Linked DNA regions of Oryctolagus cuniculus. The protein of the gene in region 2 purifies or fractionates together with the protein of the main gene of each other region. This does not show direct contact. Links are inferred from orthologs where the notes say so. Each region holds a gene or a part of one and is shown on either strand. Other genes may lie near its edges.

Evidence for each region.
Region 1: the proteins of WDR20 (region 2) and FBXW5 purify together in Homo sapiens (co-immunoprecipitation; 3 studies listed by BioGRID and IntAct, counting the BioPlex papers as one, with this or other methods). This does not show direct contact. The link is inferred for Oryctolagus cuniculus from reciprocal best matches to the Homo sapiens genes WDR20 and FBXW5.

The regions. Positions count from the first base shown.
Region 1 is NC_091432.1:237,322,372-237,326,313, forward strand, and holds the end of FBXW5 (F-box/WD repeat-containing protein 5), read right to left. Parts: intron 3,461-3,942; coding exon 3,034-3,460; intron 2,957-3,033; coding exon 2,809-2,956; intron 2,729-2,808; coding exon 2,516-2,728; intron 1,196-2,515; coding exon 952-1,195; 3' UTR 548-951; downstream 1-547. UniProt on the Homo sapiens protein: Substrate recognition component of both SCF (SKP1-CUL1-F-box protein) and DCX (DDB1-CUL4-X-box) E3 ubiquitin-protein ligase complexes.
Region 2 is NC_091451.1:45,460,033-45,463,835, reverse strand, and holds part of WDR20 (WD repeat-containing protein 20), read right to left. Parts: intron 2,247-3,803; coding exon 987-2,246; intron 1-986. UniProt on the Homo sapiens protein: Regulator of deubiquitinating complexes. Activates deubiquitinating activity of complexes containing USP12. Anchors at the base of the ubiquitin-contacting loop of USP12 and remotely modulates the catalytic center of the enzyme.

The DNA.
Region 1 (3,942 bases), on a different chromosome or scaffold from region 2:
TGCAGCCAGCTTGTTCCTGTCTCCCAGTGGGTGCAGGGGCCCGAGCACTCGGCGCACCCTCCGCCACTCTCCCGGGCCACCTGCAGGGGGCTGGCGCCCAGGCCATGGAGGCCCCTGGGCTGTGTCCCGGGCTCATCTGCACAGCGCACGAGCCCCTCGTTTTAGCCCCAGCCGCCCCTCTCAGACCTGTCCCCAGCAAGGCCCGGCCCAGGATGGAGGTGCCCGCACCAGCGCCCGTGCCATGGGGAACAGCTGGGTCCCCTGTGCAGGCAGGGCACACAGTGTCCACTGCTTACCCCCGAGGCCCGGCGCCCTCCCCACCCTCCCCCTCACTACCACAAGGGGGGGCCCTCGGTGAGGGAGGGAGGCCAGGCAGGTTCCAGCTGGGCAGCCCCTCCCCCACCCTCGGCAGGAATCTCCCAGAATGCAGCTGTCCCACCAGAGCTGCCCGGATGCCGTCGGGCACAGGCCTCCTGGGTGCCAAGGAGGCAGGAGGCTGGGGACAGGGCCCGGGCTGCCCCTCCCTGCACAGAGGTGGACGTCGGTGGGCTGTTGGCAACTGTTTATTCTGAGCCCTGGGCCAGTGGCCAGCAGACAGGCCCCTGGGCCCCCAGCACCGCCGGTACAAACCAAGTCACCAGGGCGGGAGCCTGTCCGCTGGGCCGAGGCGTGGGGACTGTCCTGAGTGGCCGGGCTTGGGGCCGTGTGCACCCGCAGCCCGGGGGAGGGAGTGGGTGAGGAGTGAGGCCTCCAGTGTCCTGTGCACGCCGTGCTGGCCCCGCGGCCAGTGTGGGGCCGCCGCATGCAGCGCGGGCCACGTGAGGCTGTGCGAGTGCGTGCGGGGGCCGGGCCGGCCCCTCCTGAGGATCCCTGCTACAAGCAAAGCCACCCCACGCGGGGAGCACCCACGGGGCCCCGGCAGTGTCCCCGCGGCTCGAGCCAGGTCGGCCCTCAGCGCCTGTGGCAGCCGAACCAGGAGAAGAAGGGGCGGGGGCGCAGGCGCGGGGCCTGCAGGAGGCGCACGGTGCGCGGCGAGCGCCAGGCCTTGATGGTGGCGTCGTCGCTGGCGGTCAGCAGCAGCTCCTGCTCCCGCGGGCTGAAGACCACCGAGTTGACCACGTCCTCGTGCCGCAGCTTGGCCAGGCAGATGTTGTAGTGCCGGTCCCAGATGTAGCCGTGCCGGTCCTCGGCCCCGCTGTGGGCCCGCACCGGGATGAGGCTGCTGCCCGCCCCTGTTCTGCCGCCCGGCGCCCCGCCCCACGGAGCACGGCCCCCCCAGGTTCCACCCTGTCCCACCGCACCCAGCCCCGCCTCGCCCCGGCCCCGCCCGGAGCCCCGCGCCACGGAGGATGGCCCCCAGGTTCCACCCTGTCCCCGACCCCGCCTCGCCTCCCCCGGCCCCGCCCCACGGAGGCCGGCCCCCAGGTTCCACCCTGTCCCTGACCCCGCCCCGCCCCGCCCCACGCCACGCCCCACGGAGGCCGGCCCCCAGGTTCCACCCTGTCCCTGACCCCGCCTCGCCTCCCCCGGCCCCGCCCCACAGAGGCCGGCCCCCAGGTTCCACTCTGCCCCTGACCCCGCCTCGCCTCGCCCCGGCCCCGCCCCACAGAGGCCGGCCCCCGGTTCCACCCTGTCCCTGACCCCGCCTCGCCTCCCCCGGCCCCGCCCCACAGAGGCCGGCCCCCAGGTTCCACTCTGCCCCTGACCCCGCCTCGCCTCGCCCCGGCCCCGCCCCACAGAGGCCGGCCCCCGGTTCCACCCTGTCCCTGACCCCGCCTCGCCTCCCCCGGCCCCGCCCCACAGAGGCCGGCCCCCAGGTTCCACCCTGTCCCTGACCCCGCCTCGCCCTGGCCCCGCCCCGGCCCACAGGCCGGCCCCCAGGTTCCACTCTGTCCCTGACCCCGCCCCGCCACGCCCCGGCCCCGCCCCACAGAGGCCGGCCCCCAGGTTCCACCCTGTCCCTGACCCCGCCTCGCCTCGCCCCGGCCCCGCCCCACGGAGGCCGGCCCCCAGGTTCCACCCTGTCCCTGACCCCGCCTCGCCTCGCCCCGGCCCCGCCCCACGCCCCGCCCCAGAGGCCGGCCCCCAGGTTCCACCCTGTCCCTGACCCCGCCTCGCCTCGCCCCGGCCCCGCCCCACGGAGGCCGGCCCCCAGGTTCCACCCTGTCCCTGACCCCGCCCCGCCCCGCCCCACGCCACGCCCCACGGAGGCCGGCCCCCAGGTTCCACCCTGTCCCTGACCCCGCCCCGCCCCGCCCCACGCCACGCCCCACGGAGGCCGGCCCCCAGGTTCCACCCTGTCCCCGACCCTGCCTCGCCTCCCCCGGCCCCGCCCCACAGAGGCCGGCCCCCAGGTTCCACCCTGTCCCTGACCCCGCCTCGCCTCGCCCCGGCCCCGCCCCACAGAGGCCGGCCCCCAGGTTCCACCCTGTCCCTGACCCCGCCTCGCCTCGCCCCGGCCCCGCCCCACGCCCCGCCCCAGAGGCCGGCCCCCGGGTGCCGCCCCGCCCCGCACCTGGCCACGAAGTCCCGGCTGACGTCCAGGAAGATGAAGAAGCACTCGTCGTTGGGCGTGTAGGCGCGGTGCGCGCGCAGCGCCCGCTTCACCTCGCGCATGGTCTTGAGGTCGAACACCAGCAGGTCGATCTCCTCGGCGATGGGGGGCGGCTGCATGGGGTCGGCCACCACCGAGCCGCGGGGCCAGGCGCGGCTGTTGACGTACAGGTACCTGCGGCGGGGCGGGCGCTCAGCGCGGGACACGCCCCCACCTCTCCCCCGCCCCCGCCCCCCACCGCCGGGCGGGCGCACCTGTTGTCGGGCGACAGGCCCATGCCCACGATGTGTCCGTGCACGTCGATGACGTGGTCCAGCGCGTCGAAAAAGGCGTCGGAGCCGCGGCCCTCGCCCAGCACGGGGCCCGCCGTGGTCATCTGGTGCGGCAGGATCTGCTTGATGCCTGCGGGGGGCCGGCGTGAGGGGCTGCAGGCCCCAGCCCACCCGCCCGGGTGCCCTGCCCCGCGCGCCCTGCCCTACCGATCTGGTGCGGCGAGTAGGTGAGGCAGCCCGTGGTGAAGATGAGGTACTTGTTCCTGGCGTCGGCGGGGGCCAGCTCGGGGGGCTTGGTGTGGCCCTGGGCCAGCAGCTCGGCCACCCGCGTCTCCAGCACGCGCTCGGACAGCTGCGCCTGCGTGTCCAGCGCGCCGTCCGGGAAGCGCCGCGAGCCCCTGGGCCGGGGCGGGGCGGGCGCCGGGGCCGGCCCGTCCGAGTCGCTGTCGGGGTCGGAGTCGCCGCCCAGGTCGAAGACGCGGCAGGGCGCGGCCGGGCCGCCGGCGTCCAGCAGCAGGTCGGGGCTGTCGAAGCGGGAGCAGTCGGCCACCATGACGGTGCGGATGGTGCTGGCGCTGAGGTTCTGGATCTTGAAGAGCCGCTTCACCACGTTCACGTTCTCCGACTCCACGTCCTGGGCGGGCGAGCCGGGGGGCGGGGGCGGGGCGAGCCGGTGGGCGGGGGCGGGGGCGGGCGAGCCGGTGGGCGGGGGCGGGGGCGGGCGAGCCGGGGGGCGGGGGCGGGGGCGGGCGAGCCGGGGGGCGGGGGCGGGGGCGGGCGAGCCGGTGGGCGGGGGCGGGGGCGGGCGAGCCGGGGGGCGGGGGCGGGGGGCGGGCGAGCCGGTGGGCGGGGGCGGGGGCGGGCGAGCCGGTGGGCGGGGGCGGGGGGCGGGCGAGCCGGTGGGCGGGGGCGGGGGGCGGGCGAGCCGGTGGGCGGGGGCGGGGGGCGGGCGAGCCGGGGGTGTGGGATGGGGGGGTTGGGGCGGAGCTGGGGGCGGGGGCGGGAGTGGGGCGGAGCTGGGGGCGGGGCGGGGGCACGGGGCGGGGCGGAGCTGGGCACAGAGCCTGGGGTGTGGGGGGCGGGCCCCCACGGGGCAGGGGTGGGGGAGGGGAGCCC
Region 2 (3,803 bases):
CAGCAAAGCCTGCCCTGCGCGTCCCCTGTGGGGGACTGAACCCAAGCAGGTGCCTGTCGGGCAGCGCTGCCACAGGCTGCAGTCACATGTCTTGCTGAGCCAAACAAAAACAAAACCAAACAAAGCAAAATACAAAGAACCCTCCTCTTCTCTCACTGGGGAAAAAAAAAAGTATGTAAAGTGCATCTGAGGTCAAAGGTCTTGGCTCATGCGGCAAGAGGCACTTCTGACAACAGCTGTTGGCGACCTCAGCCCACAGTTCACTCTCTGTCCAGACTCTGGGTCATGTGAAGACTTTAGTGCACAGAATCTCAATCAAAGTTCTACAAACTGCTTCTTTGAAAAAAGATGTTTATTAAACAATTTTAATTGTCATAAAATGACTAAAATGGGTTTTAAAAATTAAGGCTCTTCTCCTTCTGTGGATTGCCAGAACAATGTAAAAATAATATCAATCAACCCTGAACGCTTTGTCCCTAACGTTAAATTTCATAGACTCCTAAACAGTTTTATGATTAAGATAAAAAAGTGGACTATAAATGGCAACAGCCCCTTGTACTGAACACACACTCTGATCAGGTGTACAATACTCTAATGGAGTAGTTAAGCAAAAGTATTCCAGTTAAAGCATCGATTTTAATTGTAGCATTTTAAAGTCATCGTTTCCCAACACTGTCATGATTTTCCTACACCTGAAATAGTCTGACACAGGAGTGCTGGCCTTGGGACTCTACGCTCCCAAGAGGATGACTGACCTGGCTGGCAACTCGCTTGATTATATTTTTAAATGCTCTCAGGTGAATTATCAAATGATTCGGAATTACATGGCATGCAGTATCCAAAATTATGGCTCTGATGCATTTGGATTTACATCAAGAATCAGAAGTGTCATTCACATTCATTGTACACCCCACCCCCCCTCGAGAAAAAACAGTTACTACCTATTCAAGTCTAGATCCGGTGCAGCATTAAGGATTAAAACTTACCACTTTCCCAGGCCTTCCCCACGTGCAAACAAATCCCTCCTGACAAGCAGTGACTATACAGTCTTCAAGGAAAATCAATACCGTCAGTCTTTCATGCGCTATCTTTTTACAGATCAGTGGCTCTAACAAAGGGACGTCTTCCATTCGAGGACACAGGGGCGTTCCCAGAGTTTTAGCAGGGTCTGTTTTTGTTTTAGTAACTAGATTCAGTTTGTCACTACTCTTGCTAGAAATGTGTCCCATGCTATGGTTTCGCTTGTGATCTTTCTCGTGGTGCCTCTCCTTCCGGTCGTGTAGTGAGAGTGTCGCAAACTTGCTGACCCCAGAAGCAATGGCGCCATCCATGACGCTGCTTTTGCTGCCAGCATTGGAGACTGCTGAGTGGGGAAGGCTGTTGGACCGCGGCAGAGGAGGGGGCATGGAGTTTCCGGGCGTGGTGACACTGTTCCCATTGCTTCCAGCAGGAGGACTTGTGGCATTCATGACATTCGTGTGTGTCCTTGCTCGCGAAAGGGGTTGGTGAGGGAAAAGGATGTCTTCTGTGAGGTCCCACAAGCACAGCTGTGTGTCCTGGCCCACTGAACCAAACCGGTATGTGACACTTACGGGGCGGCTGTCTGTAGAGTTCCGTTTGGACAGCCGGGACTGTGTACTATTTGCTCGATCTCTGCCAAAATGGAGAAGGTCTTGGAAGTCCTCGTCACTGCCACTGAACTCCATAGGGTCACTTTCTTCCACACTAGTGGTATAGGGGTCAAAGGCCACCACACTGACCCAGGACTTGTGCCCATGGCCTCTAGCTATTACTCGGCAGTCTACAAAAGACCAGACTGTCACCAAGTCGTCCTCTCCACCCGTCACAATGTACTTGCCGTCCGGGCTCCAGCACACACACAGCAAGCCCCCAAAGTAGCTTTTCATCGTACCGTGCAGCTCCACCGAGTCAAAGTTGAATACCCGCAGGAACCCGTCCTGGCTCACGCACGCTAAGAACTTGCCATCTGGGGAGAAAGCAAACTCATTGAGGGCCCCCTCGCCCACCGTCCACTTAAGGAGAGGGTTCCTCGTGGATTTGCTCTTGCAAGTGTGCACGGCAAAGCTCTCTCCCTGCTTCAGGAGCTGGTAGTGAGGGCCAGTGGTGCCACAAGTGTGCTCCACGTTATACAAGTACATGTTCCCACTCGAATGAGCCACTAGGAAAAGGCTTTCCGAGCCGGGGACCCACTTGACACAGGTTACTCGTGACTTGTCTATTAGTCTCTGTGAAGACAAAGGAGAACAAGTTATCACAACAGAGAAGTCTGAAAGTCGGCTCTCCACCAAGAAAACGAGTCTGCTTCTCAGTGAGCCGGGAGGAGTCCGTCCAGGCATGCCACATCTACCCTGCGGTCAGCCACGCCGGGAGGGCACCAGGCTCTGGACAGCGTGTGCCTGAACCGCACTTGGCTCAGCCTCTGACCTGACTTCACAGAGGAAGTCGGCCTTCTGGCAGTAGGTGCCTGCTCGTGCCAGACACTGTCCCAGAGCTGGGCTGCACCTCCTCTCTGAATCAGTGGCTTACTGCTCTGGGCCTGGCACCTCTCTACGGTGACCTCAGGCAGTGCGCCATGCCTCCCAACCGGAAAGCTGTGCCTCCCGGGTTTCTCGGCACTCACTGTCACTGCGAGTCAGGTGCACACCGCACCCGCTCCTGCCGCGCCTGCCTGAGGTGGGGTCAGCTCTGGCCAGTGCCAGCAGCATCCGGGGCTCCAGAGCAGCCTTCCCGGGCTCAGCCTCGGCACGTGTACTGGCTGTCCTCTCTTGACCGAGGTGGTGTTTAGACATAACCAGGTGATTAGCTCAAGATTATGCCATCATCACTAGCATTCTACCCTGTGCTCAGTCCTAGTCCACTGTCCTAGTTGTTTCTCTAAAAGGCATTTATCAGCAGTCTTGCCTTTAAAACAAAAGAATGAATGGCAAAAAGTAAAAAAATCCCAAAAGGCACACAGTACCCTTCCTGCTTGTGCCAGGGAGGTCTAGCATGGCTGCTTCCCAGAGGGTCCCTCTCTGGTGGCTTGGATTCAAAGTCACATCAGCAGAAGTCACCCAGAAGTTCCCAAGACTCACAAGTTCAACCTCAGAACAGCGCCTAAGGGAGCCCAGCACTCTCTACAGACTTGCGTTTCAGAGGGGCACAGGGCACACTGGGGGGCCTTGCCTAGAAACACTGCTGCCTTCTGCCCAGCTGGCTTTGTGTCTGCTGTATCTTTTTAAGAATATTACAGAAATTACTTGATTTTCAAAAGCAGGGCTACAAAAGAAGAAATGAATGAGCCACACATACTCACTGCATGAAAACTAGCTCTCGGAGGCTAACCAGCAAGTCCAGGCAGGAAGAACAGGGCCCTAATCCCTGGAAAGCAGGTAAGCTGAGGGGGCTCAGGGTGCTGCAGCAGGACTCAGTGCTCACTGTCACCTAACGGCAGGCCTGGAGCTCTTAAATTAACAGGTACCACCCTTGGGGACACAGCCAACATTTGCATCCTCTGCCTCTTTCCCTTCCTGCCTGGTGACCTACCTATAAAAGGCACCTGACCTATGTCACTGCCAACAACCTAGAAACCCAGCAGGACTCTGGCAGGATCTCTGTAAGAACTGCTCAATCCCTCTGACAAGAGATCAGGGGGTAGTCTACACGGCTTGACCAGGGCTTCTGTGGCTGGGGTTCAGGGCTATGTTGACGGTGGGTTCTGCATGGGAGCTGTCGGGCTGCCCCAGCATGTCTGCTCACACAAACGTGGCTATGCCTGAGGGCACCCACAGCGGCCTTGCCAG